Daphnia pulex: one gene and its partner. The protein of the gene in region 2 binds, or shares a complex with, the protein of the main gene of each other region. Links are inferred from orthologs where the notes say so. Each region holds a gene or a part of one and is shown on either strand. Other genes may lie near its edges. The genes, in order: H/ACA ribonucleoprotein complex subunit 2-like protein and H/ACA ribonucleoprotein complex subunit 4-like.

Region 1 (8,699 bases), on a different chromosome or scaffold from region 2:
TGAATAACACACGCTTTTTTGTGTAGGTCGATTAACGTGGCTAGTTTACATAATCGGTGCTGCCATTGGCGGTCGCGTGTCCTTCACTTCGAGTGATGAACATGATTCGATGGATGGAGAATTAGTTTGCCGGTTTGTTGATTTTGTTTTCAGACTTAAGACTTTTGTCTTGATTTACATCAAATTTTGTATTGCAGCGTTTTACAGTTGATGAACTTGACCGATAGTCGATTGCAAGTTACTGGTGGATGTGAAAAATTGGAATTAGCTATGCTTTCCTTCTTTGAACAGTTCCGCAAGATTTACGTTGGCGATCAAGTAATCCTGCTGTCGGAAGAAAAACAAAAAATAATGAGCATAAAATTTTATTTTTAATTACTTTGTCCTAGGTACAGATGACGTCAAAAGTCTATAGAGGGCTTTCCGATGTATTAGGTCTTCGCGACGAGTCTATGGTCTTGAGTGTGTTTGTGCGAAAGATTATTACGAATTTGAAATATTGGAGTCATCGGGAACCTATAGTAGCCAAAACTCTCTTGCTTCTTAATGAACTATGCGTTGGTTACAGCAGTGTACGTAAGCTGGTTAAACTTGAAGAGATCCAGTTCATTTTACAAAACCACACGGTAGTACAAGTTATCCTTTCCGGTTAACTTCTTTCGCTTACTATTGCTCTTCTTTTTGCAGAGTGAACATTTTCCATTCCTGGGTCCAAACGTTGACGTTAGCGAAATGAAGTGTCGAACAACATTTTATACATCGATGGGCCGCTTATTATTGGTGGATTTGGGTGAAGACGAAGATCGTTTTGAGCAGTTCATGTTACCGTTAGCCAGTAATATTTATTCATTAATATACAATCTGTGCATTTTCTTTAAATTTAACTCGTTTTCCTATAGGTGCATTTGATTCCCTAGGAGCTCTATTGACACAGGCGGACTCCCCCATGTTTAGTCAAGTCGAGGAGGCGCAAAAATGTGTTATTGGATTGGCTAGAGATCTGCGAGGCCTGGCATTCGCCTTTAATACCAAGCAATCTTACATGATGCTCTTTGATTGGTTATATCCTGATTATGCGGCTGTGTATCTCAGAGCATTGCAGCTGTGGTACCATCAGCCACAGGTAGAAAATTGCAAAGTTGCTTTTTGATTCATTATCTAATTCTGTAAATTTTGCAAATCCGAACAGGTGACAAGTCCATTGCTGAAGCTTTTTGCCGAGTTGGTGCAAAATCGGAGTCAACGGTTGCAATTTGATTCCACTTCCCCGAACGGTGTCCTACTATTCCGTGAGGCCTCAAAAGTTCTCTGCTCATACGGTATAACATTTTTTTTTTTTTTGGGGGGGGGGGATTATGATCGAGCTAAATTAATTGCGGTTTCATTCCTTCATTTAGGTGGTCGAATTTTGAGTGTTGAAGTGCCCAAAGAACAAATTTACGCTGCAAAATTTAAAGGCATCTCAGTGTGTTTTTCTCTGCTTAAGGTGAACAATAATTTATTCTGTCTCTCAAAAGAAACTTTTTTTTTCTAACGTATGTAAACCTGCATTACAGGCAGCTTTGTGTGGCGGATATGTTAACTTCGGAGTCTTCCGTCTCTATGGCGATACTGCCCTAGACGACGCTCTTGGCACTTTCGTCAAAATGCTCATGTCTATACCACAAAGTGATCTCTTAGTAAGTAAAGTCCCTATTGGTTTAACATTACAGTATCTAAATATTACTTCTGTAAATAGGCTTATCCAAAGTTGAGTCAGACCTACTATGTGTTGTTGGAGTGTCTTGCTCAAGATCACATGGTGTTTCTCAGCTCGTTAGAGCCGCATGTTTTCCTATACATTCTCTCGACTGTCCAAGAAGGCCTCACTGCACTAGGTATATTTGAACAGTAAATATTTTAATGAATGGTAATCGAACTCAATGTAACGAGAAAATTCCACCAATAGATACCATGATCTGCACGGGCTGCTGCAATACGCTAGATCATATCGTAACCTACGTCTTTCGCCAGTTGACGGCTAAAGGCAAAAAGGCTCGAAAGGTTGTAGAACAGCAGCAGGGTGCGCAACTCATTCGTTTGATGGAAATCCGACCAGAACTACTGCAACAGATGCTGAGTTGTATCTTGAACATCGTTATGTTTGAAGAATGCCGAAATCAGTATTCCATGTCCCGTCCTTTGCTTGGCCTCATTTTGTTGAACGAAGACTATTTTGGCCAATTGCGTCAATCCATCATTCGCAGTCAGCCAGTCGACAAGCAGAGCCTTATGGCTCAGTGGTTCGACAACTTGATGGACGGAATCGAGAGGAATGTCACCGCCAAAAACCGAGACAGGTAAACTTGTAAATTTTGTTTCCTTTTAAAAGTTATTATTCTATATTTCTTCATTCAACAAATTTCAGATTTACGCAAAACCTATCACTCTTCCGGCGAGATGTTAACGAATCGTTGAAAGGACCAGTGAATAACCCATTGATATCCAACAACGACATGATGACTTAGCAAACCTCATTCAATCGAACTTCTTGTTCCTTCGCGGATGACGTTCGTTTATTATCTTTTTCATCAATTAGTGAAGAGTCCACACCAAGTTATCATCATGGAATGTTTCACAGGCGTATCAGTGTTGCATGAAAGTATTGAACCCACTTTCGTATGCTCCACCTTTTTGTTGTTTTTTGCTTGCAACAAGGCTAATTTTGTATCACATCCACCCAAGTCACTTTTTTTTTGCTTTACTTTCTGTGTAACCAAGATGAGGAAATGAGTCGACAGTGATGTATGGAGTAAAAATGTGAATTCTGAAAAAAAAGCATCCAAATTCTGAAAAAGTGTAATCATTTTCAATGTCAAATTAGTATGACTGATGAAGGAGCTTGGATGAAAGAGGAATTCATTAACATTGAGGAGGGATGGTTTTAAGTTCAGCAGCAAGTTCATCAAAAGAAGTTTGATAGTCAGGATGTTCTTTGATAAGCACCATCAAAGATGTTCGCTTCAGTCCCAGAGAATGACCAAGTTCAAGTCTTGATGGAGTGTAGATGTAAGGAATATTCTTTTCTTCACACACTGCAGGCATGTGGCACATAATATCTACAGGAGTAACATCACCAGCAAAAATGACCAACCTGAAAAAAGAAAAATAATTTGTTAACACATTAAGAATATCACAAGATTTTGTTTTTTGTATTTACCCTTTTTCACCTAGTCGAATTCTTCTCTGTACATCCTTGAGGCCGTTTCTCACATATCCCTTGTGTGGGGCAGCTAGAAGCAAGAAACATATTTGAACTTACTGAATGAAAATATAACCAAAAAATTAACTAACCTTTCTTAAGAAGTTTATAGATCCGTTTAGTGAGCTTCCTGCTAGCCATTGGTTTAGCAATGATGCTGACATGATTCATCAACTCATCATAGCTACTCTTGTCTGATTTTCCCTCGACCTGTGATGTTTCCATGGCATCGGTTTCTTCTTCCTTGATAACCTGCTTTGATTTCTTGGCCATTTTTCTTTTTGTTTTAAATTTAAACTGTTAACTTAAATGCAGTAGCTACGGTAGTATGAGCACGTGTGGTTTTCAAGCTCGTCGATTTTTTTGCCTAGCTCTTGACTTTCGCGTCGTCTGGATTTAGACGTTGCCAATAGCTCGTAGCATCAACTTGTAAACTGAAACCTTGACATTTATAATAAAAAACTAAAAAATGCTGCCGATAATAATACTTTTCATAGTTTCTTATTGACAAATAATTTATAGGAAACTTAAAATTGGGTAAATTTTGACAAATTGGTGGACCAATATCAAATCGATTTCGTAGCCTACTTGTAATTATTTCGATATCGAAATCACGGAATCCACGACCCATGTGCTGGTGTGAAGCGGTGTTCTGAGAAAGTGTTTTACGTGAGCAACTCGTGTAATTTTTATAAACCCTTTTTTTCGTCCACGACAAAGATTCCCACTTGTTTTTTATAGTGAGGTAATTATCTATTTGTCTTTCTTGTTTAAGAGCAAATGAAGAATTTCATATTGAGAGAAAGCTGTCGTCGCCATGTTTTTCGATGTGACCACGTCTGTCATAGACAAATTCCTATTTTTCTGTCATGCCGACCGTCTATAAAGACCACTTTAACAAACTATACCTTTTCATTTAAACTGTAATTGGTTTACTCAGGTTTCATCTATTTGCTGCTTTCCTATAGCCCCTAAACCAGTGTCATGGAGGAGAACTCTGCAGATAGGAATGTTGAGATCTGGAAGATCAAAAAACTCATCAAAAGCTTGGAACTTGCAAGAGGGTAATTTGCCTCATGAGATAACATGTCTCAGAATTATGGCAGTAATTGACAGGGCATGTCAAGCTGTTGCTTAACAACTGCTCAACAAGTGAATAAAGTTTAATGAAACACTTTCTTCTTTAGAAATGGTACAAGCATGATTTCGCTCATCATCCCTCCTAAAGATCAGATTGCTCGGATCAGCAAAATGTTGGCTGATGAATTCGGTACTGCCTCCAATATTAAATCTCGAGTAAACAGGCTCTCTGTCCTGGGTGCCATCACATCTGTCCAACAGAGATTAAAACTGTATGCCAAAGGTATGTGTTGTTATTTATGCTTGTTTCTTGATTAACCTTAATAATTTTCTTTGATTTGCCAGTACCCCCTAATGGTTTGGTCATATATTGTGGAACAATTGTCACAGAAGAGGGTAAAGAGAAGAAAGTGAACATTGATTTTGAGCCTTTCAAGCCCATCAATACATCACTGTATTTGTGTGACAACAAGGTATGGTTTTTTTTTGTTATTTTTAAGGTTTTCAAAGATAAATCATGAGTGAATTCAGTTCCATACAGAAGCCTTGACAGCATTGTTAGCTGACGATAACAAATTTGGTTTCATTATTATGGATGGTAACGGGGCGTTGTTTGGAACACTCCAAGGAAACACGAGAGAAGTTTTACATAAATTTACTGTCGAATTACCCAAAAAGCACGGTAAGCATCATTTCTAATTATTGGTGCTATTTTGTGAATTCTATAATTTCATGTGACGCTGTTTATGTAGGACGTGGTGGTCAGTCTGCCTTGCGTTTCGCCCGTTTACGTATGGAAAAGCGACACAATTACGTCCGTAAAGTGGCCGAGGTAGCCACTCAAATGTTCATATCCAACGATAAGGTGACGGCTGCAGGCCTCATCTTAGCAGGAAGTGCTGACTTCAAGACGGAGCTCTCTCAATCGGATATGTTCGATCCGGTAAGCAAGCAGTTATTACATTTCACAAACCGAAATCATCTGGACTTTGGTCTCTGACTAGAATCTCGTATTTCAGTTCCATGATTGGTATTACCTTTCTCATTCCCGCTAGTTGTAACTGGTTTCTTTCTTTTGATAGAGATTGCAAGTCAAAATTATCAAGATGGTCGACATCTCTTACGGTGGTGAAAACGGCTTCAACCAGGCAATCGAGCTTGCAGCAGAGAGTCTTGCCAATGTGAAGTTTATCCAGGAAAAGAAGCTGATTGGTTAGTTGTTTTTTTGGATTAAATTACCTTTTATGTGTTAACCTAACGGTGGTGTTATGTTTCTTCTCACGTAGGTCGATACTTTGATGAAATCAGCCAGGATACGGGCAAGTACTGCTTTGGTGTCGACGATACGCTGAAAGCACTGGAACTTGGCGCTGTTGAAATTCTCATTTGTTGGGAGAATTTGGACATTATGCGCTACATGCTCAAGATTCCCGGTACGGAAGCGACCAAAGTTCTGCACTTAACGCCCGAACAGCAAAAAGACAACACGCATTTCACGGACAAGGATGTAATTAACTATTTGTTATTTATAATTATTTTAGAAAATGTCTTAACATGGAATTTTATTATCATTAGAGCGGTACCGAAATGGAATTGATAGAAAGTCAGCCGCTACTGGAGTGGCTGGCAAACAATTATAAATCGTTTGGTGCGACGCTTGAAATCATCACCGATAAATCCCAAGAAGGCTCCCAGTTCGTCAGAGGGTTTGGTGGCATTGGAGGTCAGACTTTTGAATTGCACTACCCTTTACATGATCCTGTTTATTAATATTCTTTTCTTTGAATGAAACAGGCATTTTACGCTACAAGGTGGATATGCAAAGTTTACAAGGCGACGGCCCTCTGGACGATCAAGTCTACGATTTGGACGATTATTAAGACACCCTCTAGGATTATCATCAACGGTTTCGGACCATTTATCACGCATCCAACGGATAAAATAAAGTTTTTTTCCCTGCATATGACACCCGTCGATTGCGTTCAGCTGTTACTTTTTTCTTTCCAACTTGAACGCTGCAACGAACTTGTTTTTCCTGTTCAATCGGAGCGGGAAAAAATGTGGAAGAAATCATCAAGAGTGCATCAATTCCTCTTCTATTTTTTTTCTTTTCTATTTTTACATTGGACTGGAGGGGAAATCTTAGGTGAAATTATGCGATTGTCATATTTTTTTTGAAATTTTTTTTTCTCGGTAGGGAAATATGAATTGACTACCGCAATTTCAAGAACTTTATATGAAATGAATTTATGTTTGCTGGTTTATTCACACACAAACACAAGCGGGGATCGTCTTTCATCGTTCCTCGTCGAGTGACGTCTGGGTTTTCCTACCTAGAATCTGAAACAAGTCACTTCGATAAAACAAAAATGAAAAATTAATGGGGGGACGCTCGTGTTTCAATTCTCCATCCATAGTTTTCTTTTGCTGCATCAACACTTGCGTATTTTTTAACTATTCCTTTCAAGAAAAACAAACAAACAAAATCTTCTTCACTGAACATTGTTCATACTTTTTTTTTGTCATTCTGTCGTTTTGAGTTTGTGGAACACGAGTTTTGTCGAAAGATTTACCTCCGTGAAATACACACTTGCCGACACGTGGTGTTGGTTTGAGTTGGAATTTGATTGTCCTGGTTTAAAATTTTTTTTTTTTCCAGTACCTTCATTTCGAACGGAAGTTTTGAACTTATCAAATTTATTTATTGTCGTGATGAGGTGGTGGCTGGGCAGAAGAAAATGGACCCGCTCTCTGGTTGGCAGCTTAGAAAGTTTTGAGGTAAATGACTTAATAATTTCTTCTTTTCTTTTGTTAAGTGAACGACACTTTTTGGGAACACACAAATTTGGGAAGAAGAAAAATGAAAAACAGATCGGTGTCGGTAGGCCTTGATGAATTTCTAGTAAAACCCACATTTGCCTATAAGAAAATTATGTGTCCAACTTTCTCTTTTTCCAGAAGAAAAAAATACCAAATGAAAGTTTCTTGGTCATGTTTACTCAATTAGACTGTAACTTCCAATTTCGTGGCATTGGCGAGAGATATGAAACGTTAGGACGGAGCTCACGCGCCTGGAAAAAGAAAAGAAAATTGGTAATCAGGGACGTTTGAATACAAAAACAAAACAAAATCGTATTTGGGGCATGAAATTTTCGCCCTTATTTTCGTCCGTCGCTGATGCGCCGCTCGGCGCCGTGTATATTAAGCTTATTATTTCCACGAGTATTCAAAATATGCAAATCAGTTGATGTCAAGTCCATTAAAAACTCATTTGAACTGTTATTCACGTTTGCCGTCCGGATTATTTCAGGGCATCAGAAAAGATTTAAACTGCATTCGCCGAAGAAATGAGCCCCAAATTTAACTGTTAACAATGGCGGCGGCGGCTGACGTTATTATTTTTGTTACGTTTTTTCACTCGTTTATGGCCTCCCATCTCTTTCCGTCGGAGGTGCGAGCTGCTGGGCATCACAAAACAAAGTGCAAAGCGACAAGCGAACAACATCAAGGGAATCTCCAACAAATATTTGATTACCCGCCACACACACCACTATAGTCATAGAATCCGGGTGGGTAGAAGAAAAAATCGATCGGGCGCTGCTGCTGGAATAACTTGACGGCACTAAAGGGATCGCAATAAACAAGAAGAAAATGGGTTCATATACGACTTGATTCATTTTGAACGGAGAAACAAACTACACATACACGCTTATATTCCCTCCTTCCATCGCTGGATGTTTTTTCTTGTATCCATCCCCTTCCAGTCAACAGGTCGGTCGATAAATGCAAAAAAATAAAAATAAATCCTGCGGATGCGCTTCGTTAAAAAGGTCAAATTGCTTTTTTCCCCGATGTCAAGTTGGAAATATAAATTTTTTTTTCTAGCGGCTGCGCCTCTTTCAGTTTGCAACAATTGGATTATATACCATTGCGGCCACTCCCACCACCTCCTCCTTGCTCGAAAGGTATACAATTTATTCAAATCTGTGAATAATTTTCCTTTGATTAACGACCGGTTGTATACACACAGAACGTCTGGCTGCATAATTTTCAAATATTCTACCGGGTGGTAGAAGAACACAGCAGCATAGGGCAGCCTTTATAATGTCTGGTTTACAGAGTCCTATATTACACGGAAGAAGAAGCCTTTGGAAATGAATGTATTTTCTACACAGACGAGCGATGTGCTGAGCGTGTGTGTATACTGTTTTCAGCTTTGAATTCGCTTCTTGTTCTTACACATATAGGTACTTTTTCTTCTCTCTCTCTCTCTCTCTATGTTGTGTGTTTCCTCCTCCTCCCGTGGAAAAGCTGCTGATCGATAAAACTTGACTGGGTTCCAGCCACCAAGCCTTTAACATTGTCCGCGTTTGGCTGC
Region 2 (10,097 bases):
TTTTTCTGTGCTTCCGTGCCAGGCTGGAAAAGGTATTCCGGTCGGTAAAGGACATCGACGATAACGGAAGACTTGGCTTGAACCAAAGAATGCAGTTGAGCCTCTAACAAGACGACAATGTCTTACAGGCCATCAATAATTGTCCGATCAAAGCGGACGCTCAACTGTGACTGCGAAGATTCCCGACTGAAGACGCTACGATCGAAATATTTTGCTGGCCTTGCTGGCCCCCAAGTGTAGGGCTGGTTTGTTGAAGAGCGAAGTCCAAGATGTCCTTTATGATTTTGCAGAGACCCTCGAATTTGGCCTTGTCGCTCTCGCGTTTCTTGGTTTCTCCATCATCTTCGGGGAGTTCCAGACCCTCCTTGGTGACGGAGACGAGCTGCTTGCCATCGTATTCCTTGAGCTGCTGGACGACGTACTCATCAATGGGCTCAGTCATGAAGATGACCTCCAATCCGCGCTTCTTGCCACGCTCGACGAATGAGGAGTTGCTGACTTGTTCTCTGTTGTCACCAGTGATGTAGTAGATGTGTTTCTGGTTCTCCTTCATGCGGGAAACGTATTCCTTGAAGGAAACCTGGTTTTCTCCAGAGGCGGAAGTGTGGAAACGGATGAGGTCAGCGATCTTCTTGCGTAGGTAGAATCTTCATGGACTCCCAACTTCAGGTTCTTGCTGAATTGTTCGTAAAACTTTCTTGTCGTTCTCATGCTTCTTTTCCTCCTCCTCAGCCTCATCGTCGCTCACTTTCTTGTCGCGCTACTTCTCAACCAATAGCTTGATTGGGTAGCAAATGAACTGTGAGTTCTTCTTGACAACCTCCTTGACTTTCTTCTCCTCCAGGTAATCCATCGGATAATCCTGTCAATAATGAAAAAAAAAATACAGGCATGAGCATATTGGAAATTATGCCAATGAAGACAAAGAACATACCTTCAAGTGGAGGATAATCTTGGTTCCTCTACCCATGGGTTCTCTGTGATCAGGCTTGATGGTGAAAGAACCACCAGCTGACGATTCCCAAACATACTGCTCATCATCATTGTGCTTGGAATGAACTGTCACCTTGTCGGCAACCAGGTAAGCAGAGTAGGAACCCACACTAAACTGACCAATCATGGAGATGTCAGCTCCGGCAGAGAGGGCTTCCATGAAAGCTTTAGTTCCAGACTTGGCAATAGTACCCAAGTTGTTAACCAAATCAGCCTTGATCATGCCGATACCACTAAAGAGAAACAGAACAGTCAAATTCGTGTTCAAATAGGAGGAACTAAATTTCTCAACTTACGTATCCATGAGAGTGAGTCAGCATTCTTGTTGGGGACAATCTTGATTTTAAGGTCCTTACCGCTGTCCAACTTGCTTGGGTCAGTCAGGGATTCATAACGGATCTTGACTAGGGCATTTGAGGAGTTGGAGATCGACTATAGAAGGTGTTGATAATCAAGCTCATAAGCTGAGCAATCTTGGCCTGGGATGTGAAAGTCTCAGCTTCGTCTTCCATTTGAACTTCTCCAGGCATCTAAAAAGGAAAAGGAAAATATTTCAGTAAGAAATGTTTGTCAATTGTGGTAGATCACACTCAAAAATAGAAATTCTACATATATCTATGGACTTGAGGCATATCAAAAAATGTGTAAATAACCAATTTGTTTGTCTAAACCAGTACAGTAGTAAAACTTACTTTGCTTTAAAACGTAAACAAACAAACCGGACGCTTTTCTGTTCACGTTTGGTGGGGATCTACATGTATACAAGGCCGCCGGGCAGTCGTAAAAATTGCCACCAAATTCGCTTCTTGTTAGGCCTGCAAACTATAGCTTTTGGGTTGACACACATCAAGCCGGGAAAGTGAGCCCGTTCGACTTTGAATCGCTGTGTAAAAAATACAGCTATTAGTATATCTTCATGTGATCCATTTTGAAGACCTTTCTTTGTTTAATCTCTTTCATACAAAAATTTTCGTGATTTGTAAGACATTTACGTAAATTTTGTGTTAATGTTTAGTGGCGTTTTGAATTTTGCAGTTTGAATTGCAGCGGTGGCGTTTCGAAACTGAGCCCCGTTTGACTTAGAATCGCTGTTTTAAAAAATAAATCTATTATATCTTCGTAAAATGTGATCCATTTTAAAGAGATTTCTTTGTTTAATCAAATGCCTACAAAAATTTGCGTGATTGTTGTCACAATTACGTAAATTTAAGTGTCTAATTACTGCAATTGAATTTTGCAGTTTGAATTGCAGCGGTGGCGTGTCAAAACTGAGCCTCCTTCGACTGTGACTAGAATCCCTACGGGAAATTATGTTTTTTTATACCAAATAATTGACTTTGTGGTGAATTTTCTGGGTTAGTTGTTTGTAAAAGTGCACAAGAATGAACTCTGCTAATAAGGTTGCCGATATATTTGGAGCTGCAGGATTAGGTAAAATACACATGGTGTATGTAGGTAATTGTTGAATGAGTGATTTCAGCCATTATTTTTCTTAGCTTTCAGTACGTTGGGGAAATTGACCATGCAGCTACATTCCTCAGAAAATGCCAATGCTGGGTAAATAATTTAAAGTAATTTACTTTTGTAACACTGTTGTATTTTTAATTTTTTCTTATACAGGTCAAAATGGAGTGAAGATGAAATTGAAATGTTGAGAAGTTCCATTAAGCGCTTTGGAGAAGATCTTGAAAAGATTTCTGAACATATTAAAGACAAGACAGTGTAAGTTGATTGCAAAAATCATATGTCAGTGTTCAAATTTCAAATTTTATTTGCTTCTATTTATTAGGACACAAATTCATGGTAGTTTGAAGAAAAAAACTTTTGAGGCAGCAGGTATTCCTTTGTCCAAAGTCATCAGCCAACCAGTTGTTCAACCAAGTCCACTCCAGAATATTAATTCAAGTCCTCAGCAAGCAGTTGTAGTTGTTCAACAACAGCCCCAAATGATTAATAACAAGTCAACAGCTGAAGTGACATTGAACATGTTAAATGCCTCTGAAAATGAAGTTGATGTTGAAGGGTTAAATTTTGAAGGAGCAAATGAAGTTGTCACATCTTGAAACTTTCTGATAAATTAATACACAGCATAAAAATGAAATGAATTGTATTTTCGAATTTTCTTGCAAACATAATATTACAAATTATTTCAATTATAATTAATCATCTTCCCGATCGACATCTTTCTTTTTCTTTTTTTTCTTGGCAGACTCCTCCTAAATAGAAATATGTTCACATTACTAATGCATACCAAATTACTCGGCGAATAATATTTGCAGTATGTTTTCATTTAGGTAATTTTCGTCAGAAATATTCCGTTCACTACTTTCATTAAATAATCACGACACCTTTGTTTAAAAAAAAAATTAATTGACAAGTTTAATTTACCTTGATTGTTGATGTGTCCACTGCAATTGAAAGGTCTTCATTTTCAGCTGTTTTATCTTTCTTCTTCTTTTTCTTCTCTTTGGTTTCAGGAACCGATTCTACGGTGGCATCAAGAATGCTTTCATTACCCTGCGGCTCCTGAAAATCATCCATAAATGATTAAGACATCATTATTTCACAAGAGTATAAACACTTACCCGGTCTTTGTCCTTTTTCTTCTTCTTCTTCTCCTTGGTTTCCGTCATGGATTCTGACAACGGATCAGCAACGGCGCTCGTTTCACTTAACTTTCTTTTTCGTGCCTCAGCATCTTCAGTTGGTTCAACCTTTTCTTTTTTAACGCTACAGAAAAATATAATATTATTGAAAAATTTGATACAAATACTGCGTTGAATTACATACTTTAGGTCTACATAAGATGTCAACCAATCTTTAGGTGTCTTGTCATTAGGTTTGCCAAACTTATCCAAGAGTCCCTGTTTCACCATACCCTTCTTGACGGAAGCCTAAAATTAAACAAATACATACATATACATACAAGTAACGCCAATGTAAACTATATCAATTTTTACTTTAGGTCCAAGTCCCCATTTCCTGGGATAAGTGTCACGCTCCATGACAACACGTTTAATTTTGGCAACAATACCATGGTCACATGAAGCCATGGTTGTTGTCGTCATCAAAGCAATGGCGAGAGCCACTGCTTCTCCTTTGGTTGTTACTATAACAATCTCTTCATTTAGTTCGATACCATTTTCGTACCGCAATACACCAGGCAACATGATTTTAGCTCCATAGCAAACGGCATTAACCTGTTATATATTTTTTTAACACATTATTATAAAGAATATTATAGATAAATATTAACACACTTACAGCACTGTCTTTCATGATTATTCGCTTGTGAGACATCATCAATGCCTCTAATGGACGAATAACCCGCCGCAGATATGTTTCGTCCTTATGATTATCATGTAACCACTGCGCATCGATTACATCGTGCATAGTCATTAACCCTTCTTTTTCACTTTGGATACCTTATAAAAAATAAAATCTTCATCTTAAGAACACACACAAAAAGAAACTTCCTGGCTTACCAGAACGAACTCTTCTGAGTTCCGCCATCTGAGCTCCTACGCCTAGCACCAAACCGAGATGGACACAGTGGGTACGAACGTAAGTTCCGGCTTCACAGCTAACCCAATAGATACCCATTTGTCTCTCGGCATCGTACTCGTAAAATTTACTCTCGTAAATGGTTCGCACACGAAGTTGTCGCTTAACAGCCGAGATCAGTGGTGGACGCTGAAACAAAGCTCCAGTCAACTTCTCAAGAGCTCGAGGAATCTTAATAAATAAAAAAAATATATACAAAATTAGTATTTATAAAGATCAAGTTTCTAACTTAAAAAATTAACAGAATTCAGTTAAATGCTTCATTATCTTTAATTATCTTCAGTCATTTCAGTCCACTACTTTCGATAAATTAATCATTAGCATCTTTAGCATAAGGCTTTCAACTAGAAGGGTCAAGAAACTACCTGATTGTTATCTTCAACTGCAGAATGAAGCTTAAATATGGCAACATACTCTTTGCCAGCTCCCTGCTGAGATTTGACCAGCCTTGTAGCACGATCAATGCAAACAATCAAACACCCTGTATAATATTCAATTAGTAAAGTCCATGGGATTTTCTGAGTGCTATCAACATACCTGTAACTTTAGGGTCCAATGTTCCTGAATGACCCGTCTTTTCACATCTTAGAATCCTCTTAATCCAGGCAACTACTTCGTGAGAGCTTGGGTTAGATGGCTTGTCAAGATTAATAAAACCGCCATGAATATAATCTTTAATTGGCCTCTTCAATGGTGAACAACCACTTGGAAGAGGTGTATAATGATTTGTCCTTGTGTTTAACTTGTCAAAATTCTGAAAAAAAAAGATGATTTAGAAAATGTTCACATTTCTTAATAAATAACAAGGGAAAAATTAATATCTATAAAGATCAAGTTTCAAACTAGAAAAATTTTAAGAATTTAGTTTTAAATGCTTCATTATCTTTGAGTGTCTTCAGTCTTTTCAGTCCACTACTTTCGATAAATTAATCATTAGCATTCTTAGCATAATGCTTGTATAGATAGATACTAAAATAAATTATTTTGAGAACATCTACATTTAATTTAATATTTAACAACATACCTTTAGTAACAGCGGCCATTGTGAACAGTCCAATTTTGCTACTGGTTTTTCTGATGGCTCCAACACAAAGTCTGAATCTCCTTGAATATCTCCCAAGGACTTTCTTGACTTCTTTCCACTTTGTTTCTCTCCTAGGACTTCTGAAACACAGGAATGCTAACATTAACCGACACGTGTTACCAACATTAATCCGTAGATCACAGAATTAACCAAATTAATGTAAATTTCGAATCATACTATTTGTGCAGCAAACTACAATGCATCTTTTCCATGTGAAAACACATAATCGATCCCTATAACTAGCTTGTAAAATTTATATTATGTGATGGCGCTTACCAGATGAATGCATCGTGCTTCACACGTGGTTCGAAGTCCTGTCTTTGATCTAATGTGTTGAAAAACCTCTGCTACAAAAAAAGAAACCAATGAGCGGAAGTGTTGAGCGTTGCCATTTGATTTTTGATTCTTATTTTTGGAAAAAAATTAATCACGAAGTCACTTTTTCTGCTATGACATGTATTTCCAATATTTTACTTGATTTTAAAATTCAATGGTTCAAATTATCTCTTTATTACCATTACATTAGAAGTTACAATAACTATAACATCTTTCTCCCGTGGGCCGTGGCGCTTTGGCTTTGGGAAGGGTACTCTAGTGTGTGGCGCCAAAACCTCTTGAAGGTCACCTGGTGGCAACTGGTGGCAATTTTTCGCTACTCTATAGTGTGGGTACTGTTTAGTGTTTTCACCATCTAAAATTTGTACAACATTTCTGGACATACTGCTTGTTTCTTTCTTTAGTCTTTCTACTACATGCTGCAAATTGGTGTATAAATTAAGTGAACAATTTGACTGTAACACTCCGATTTCGTAAACTATTTACAAATGGCCCTTAATAACAATAAATTTGATGCGTAAGTTTTCAAATTTTATACATGTTTTAATAGAATTTGCGTTTACTTTGTTGCTTTTCGACAGGTTGAACAACAGCGAAGACAGTGATGACGACGAAACTTCATTCAGTGAAGAAAGAAAGAAAAAGGATTTAATTTTGGTGAGATATTAACTGCATAATACACAAAAAATTATTGTAATATCTATTAACTCTATGTTAATGATGTGATAATTGCGATAGACGAATTTATGTGCTCACTTACCCATTTTTTCCTACTAATTTAAAGGTTAATTTTTTTCAGCAACCCATTCAAGTTCCTCGAGAAGAACATCCACTCCAGTACACATGAAAATGATATTACTTTTATTAGTACATGTTAATTATAGAAATACCATTTGTTTTTAGATACACATACTGTTTGTGGTTTAGTCGGAGAGCTCCTGGAAAACATGCAGCACCCCAAAGCTTTGATCAGAATCTAAGAATGGTTGGACGTTTTGCTTCTGTAGAACAGTTTTGGTCATACTATTGCCATCTGGTCAGGCCTTGTGAACTCTCTGGTCACAGTGACTTTCATTTATTTAAAGATGGAATCAAACCAATGTGGGAGGTTGTATTATTAAATAATAATAAGGGTGGTGAAGTGTTTATTAACCTACTTTTTTTTCCCAACAGGATGATGCCAATCGTTGTGGTGGTAAATGGATTGTGCGTCTTCGAAAAGGTTTAGCCTCACGTTGTTGGGAGAACTTAATATTAGCTATGTTAGGCGAACAATTTATGGTAGGCGACGAAATATGTGGAGCTGTCGTCTCAATTCGATTTGCTGTAAGAAAAATGTTTTTTGTGTTAAAAATCATATAATTTATATAAATATATATATTTTAGGAGGATATTATTTCGGTATGGAATCGAATTGCAAGTGATCAGGCTACTACCAACCGAATTCGAGATACACTTCGTCGAGTCTTAAACCTTCCACCGAACACAATACTTGAATACAAAAACCACACGGATTCTCTAAAGTACGGAATGGTGGTCTCGCCATTCAAATGAGAATTCATAATCTTTTTCTCTTTCTTTCCTCTACCTCTTCTCCCTTCAAATCTCCAGGGACAATTCCAGTTTTCGGAATACCGATGTCTTTGTCCGATAAAGACACAATATTTTACATCTCAAGCGGAATATAAATAAGTTGAAAGTTGACCTGGTCACGGTGTTCATTACCGATACTGTTATTTCTAGCTTTATAAAAGTTTGATTCAAATGTGTCTAACATTCTTCGTTGAATAATCTCTAAATACGAGTTTATTCAATACTTTTATGGAAGAACCAACTTAAGCGTCAAATGTTGTAATGATTACTTATTAGCTTTACACTGTAAAGCATGGGAGCTTGTGGTGAAACTATTTGTTGTTAATTGATTTTTCCTCAAAACCACACATTTGACAGACGGTTGATTTATTAGCTTGAGATGCTACTAACACGGAGTAGTACATTCAGCCTAGAATTAAGAAATGCGCTAGATTTTTCAGGTGAGAAACATGCGTAATGTATGTGGAATAGGGTGATGAACGGTTATATTAAATGAGAAAAGTGGAAATCAAAAATCAACATCCATTGTAGCTCACCGCTCGACGAACGTCAAAATTTTGCTGGTGATACTTCGATTCGGAATTGTAAGTAGTGATTTACGATAAACAAGGTTTCACGGTGAAATAGATTGCGAAATATAATACTGAAATTAACAAAAGAGGAAAATGGAAAGCAACCTTACTTATTTAACATCAACAAATTGGCACACGTCGAGACACCGAAATACGAATCAAATGTAAACAAACAAAAGGACGATGGCGGACCATCGCAAAATAATAAACAAAATTTTAAACCACACAATAAATGAACTATAATTTTATATTATTGTGAATGTAAACATCGTTGCAGTTGTATCTGTATAGATTAGTAGAATAAAAATTTTGAGCTCTACCAAGGACCATATATGTGCGGCCGAGAGCTGCGGAGCCCGTTCAAGCTCCGGGAAACAGCTTGTAAGCTAGATAGTGCGGATTGTATATCAGCTTCATTCCCTGTTGAATCCAGGTTACCATGAATTGATTCCCTATAAATACTGCATGACTGGAGTTGCCAAGAAGATGATATTTGTTGGTGTAAGATGGTCACCTAGAATAGATGCGCTTCATTTCTCAAAATTCGCTGTCACATTCCGGCGGGTTAAAGTAGCCAAAGATGTTCATCTCGTACACTAGAGTAAAATTTATGAATAGGTTAATACAAAATTCAGCGTTAGTTAGAATAAAACCTAATTTAAACGTACTAGAAGCGATGATCATGAAGAACAAATACCACCCCAGAAGAGCAACTCCGTATTTGCGATCCAGCTTCCAGCCATTCAGATGAGTGGCGCCCAACAAGAAAACAATGGTTGACAGCAATGATAGGGTTGAATATGTTAATCCTGCATTTTTAACAGAATAATACTTCATGGTTCCGTAAACGTGAGCAATGGTGAAAGTGTCGGTGGTACAGTACCTTTGCTGATGACTCGAACTACACTTCCCGGATCAACGACGGCCGTTTGAAGAAACCAAGGTAGCCCCAGACAAATGAGAATATCGAATACATTGCTGCCGATGGCGTTGGATGTAGCCATGTCACCGTAACCTAAAGAGAACGAATGATTACTATTTGTATCAAATTTTCCTTTTATTCAGTCATTTTCACCTTCTCTGGCAACAGCCAAACTGGTTAGAATGTCGGGAATACTGACACCAGCAGCCACAAACGTCAATCCCATCACAGTATCCGGAATTCCCATAGTGAAACCTGATCACAAATTTAGTAAAATAATGTACCGTCTAATAAATACAAACATATTCGAATGAGTAAATATTACTAACCAATAATAGTGATCATCCAGACCATGACGTAGGAAAAGATGGAAATCCAGAGCATGCTGATGAAAAAAGAAACAAGGAACCAACTGCCCCATTTCTCTAAACGGCAGTTGGGCATCGTGTAGTAAGCAGCAGCACGCAACGGCAGGCAGATGGCCCACGTGATCCGGTCTAGAAATTCTACTGGTGGTACCCACGGCGAAAATCGCTCTGCCTCCTCCTCTTTAATCTTGCTGATCGAAGGGCCGGAAGTGCCTCCAGCGTCACAGGGACCAACATTTCCGTCAATCGAAGATTTCACAGAATCTATTGAAGTATTTCCAAAGAAAAATGTTAAAATCGGAACAAAGTTTCCTGGATGTGTGAGGCATTACCAGGGGATCTTTCGTCGGTGTAGAGTTTCCCAGCGGGGCCACTAATGCCACCTGCCTCCGAGTCAAGATTCTTGTAGGGCATCAGCGACGCGTTTTCCCCACCGGGAAGTCTACGGGCGTAGTCGGGAATAGGAATAGGCAAAGTGTTTGCCCATCGCTCCAGTTGAGAGTTGTAGACCATCATTACACAATAGGCCACGTAGAGCATCAGGAAAATGGTCGACTCGTACCTTTGGATAGTCCAAAACGATTACGTTACCATTAAAACAAAATCGAATAGATTTTTTGACTGCCAAGGTTTAATGGCGCACGTTAATGGTAAATGGTAACAAA

Evidence for each region.
Region 1: H/ACA ribonucleoprotein complex subunit 4-like (region 2) and H/ACA ribonucleoprotein complex subunit 2-like protein share a complex: the UniProt entries of both Drosophila melanogaster proteins name them as parts of the box H/ACA small nucleolar ribonucleoprotein (H/ACA snoRNP) complex. The link is inferred for Daphnia pulex from reciprocal best matches to the Drosophila melanogaster genes Nop60B and NHP2.

The regions. Positions count from the first base shown.
Region 1 is NC_060026.1:11,292,099-11,300,797, reverse strand, and holds H/ACA ribonucleoprotein complex subunit 2-like protein, read right to left. Parts: upstream 3,648-8,699; 5' UTR 3,515-3,647; coding exon 3,334-3,514; intron 3,273-3,333; coding exon 3,200-3,272; intron 3,134-3,199; coding exon 2,902-3,133; 3' UTR 2,823-2,901; downstream 1-2,822. Other genes in the region: exportin-7-like, read left to right, coding at 27-132, 198-318, 390-626, 688-835, 900-1,123, 1,190-1,319, 1,398-1,486, 1,557-1,679 and 3 more; eukaryotic peptide chain release factor subunit 1, read left to right, coding at 4,226-4,305, 4,429-4,604, 4,667-4,794, 4,853-5,003, 5,074-5,264, 5,404-5,533, 5,608-5,828, 5,897-6,044 and 1 more. UniProt on the Drosophila melanogaster protein: Component of the box H/ACA small nucleolar ribonucleoprotein (H/ACA snoRNP) complex, which catalyzes pseudouridylation of rRNA. This involves the isomerization of uridine such that the ribose is subsequently attached to C5, instead of the normal N1.
Region 2 is NC_060025.1:6,905,684-6,915,780, forward strand, and holds H/ACA ribonucleoprotein complex subunit 4-like, read right to left. Parts: upstream 6,007-10,097; 5' UTR 5,931-6,006; coding exon 5,918-5,930; intron 5,722-5,917; coding exon 5,582-5,721; intron 5,312-5,581; coding exon 5,095-5,311; intron 5,039-5,094; coding exon 4,923-5,038; intron 4,729-4,922; coding exon 4,479-4,728; intron 4,419-4,478; coding exon 4,258-4,418; intron 4,194-4,257; coding exon 3,954-4,193; intron 3,888-3,953; coding exon 3,784-3,887; intron 3,724-3,783; coding exon 3,579-3,723; intron 3,520-3,578; coding exon 3,382-3,519; intron 3,316-3,381; coding exon of another isoform or gene 3,313-3,315; exon of another isoform or gene 3,210-3,312; coding exon 3,153-3,209; 3' UTR 3,084-3,152; downstream 1-3,083. Other genes in the region: heat shock protein 83-like, read right to left, coding at 1-103, 166-647, 765-862, 935-1,226, 1,290-1,297; chromatin complexes subunit BAP18-like, read left to right, coding at 2,376-2,424, 2,490-2,550, 2,614-2,715, 2,783-3,056; eukaryotic translation initiation factor 4E type 2-like, read left to right, coding at 6,466-6,494, 6,559-6,634, 6,762-6,814, 6,881-7,085, 7,151-7,303, 7,364-7,500, 7,589-7,631; probable sodium/potassium/calcium exchanger CG1090, read right to left, coding at 8,680-8,738, 8,811-8,951, 9,026-9,157, 9,218-9,319, 9,394-9,696, 9,765-9,994. UniProt on the Drosophila melanogaster protein: Catalytic subunit of the box H/ACA small nucleolar ribonucleoprotein (H/ACA snoRNP) complex, which catalyzes pseudouridylation of rRNA. This involves the isomerization of uridine such that the ribose is subsequently attached to C5, instead of the normal N1.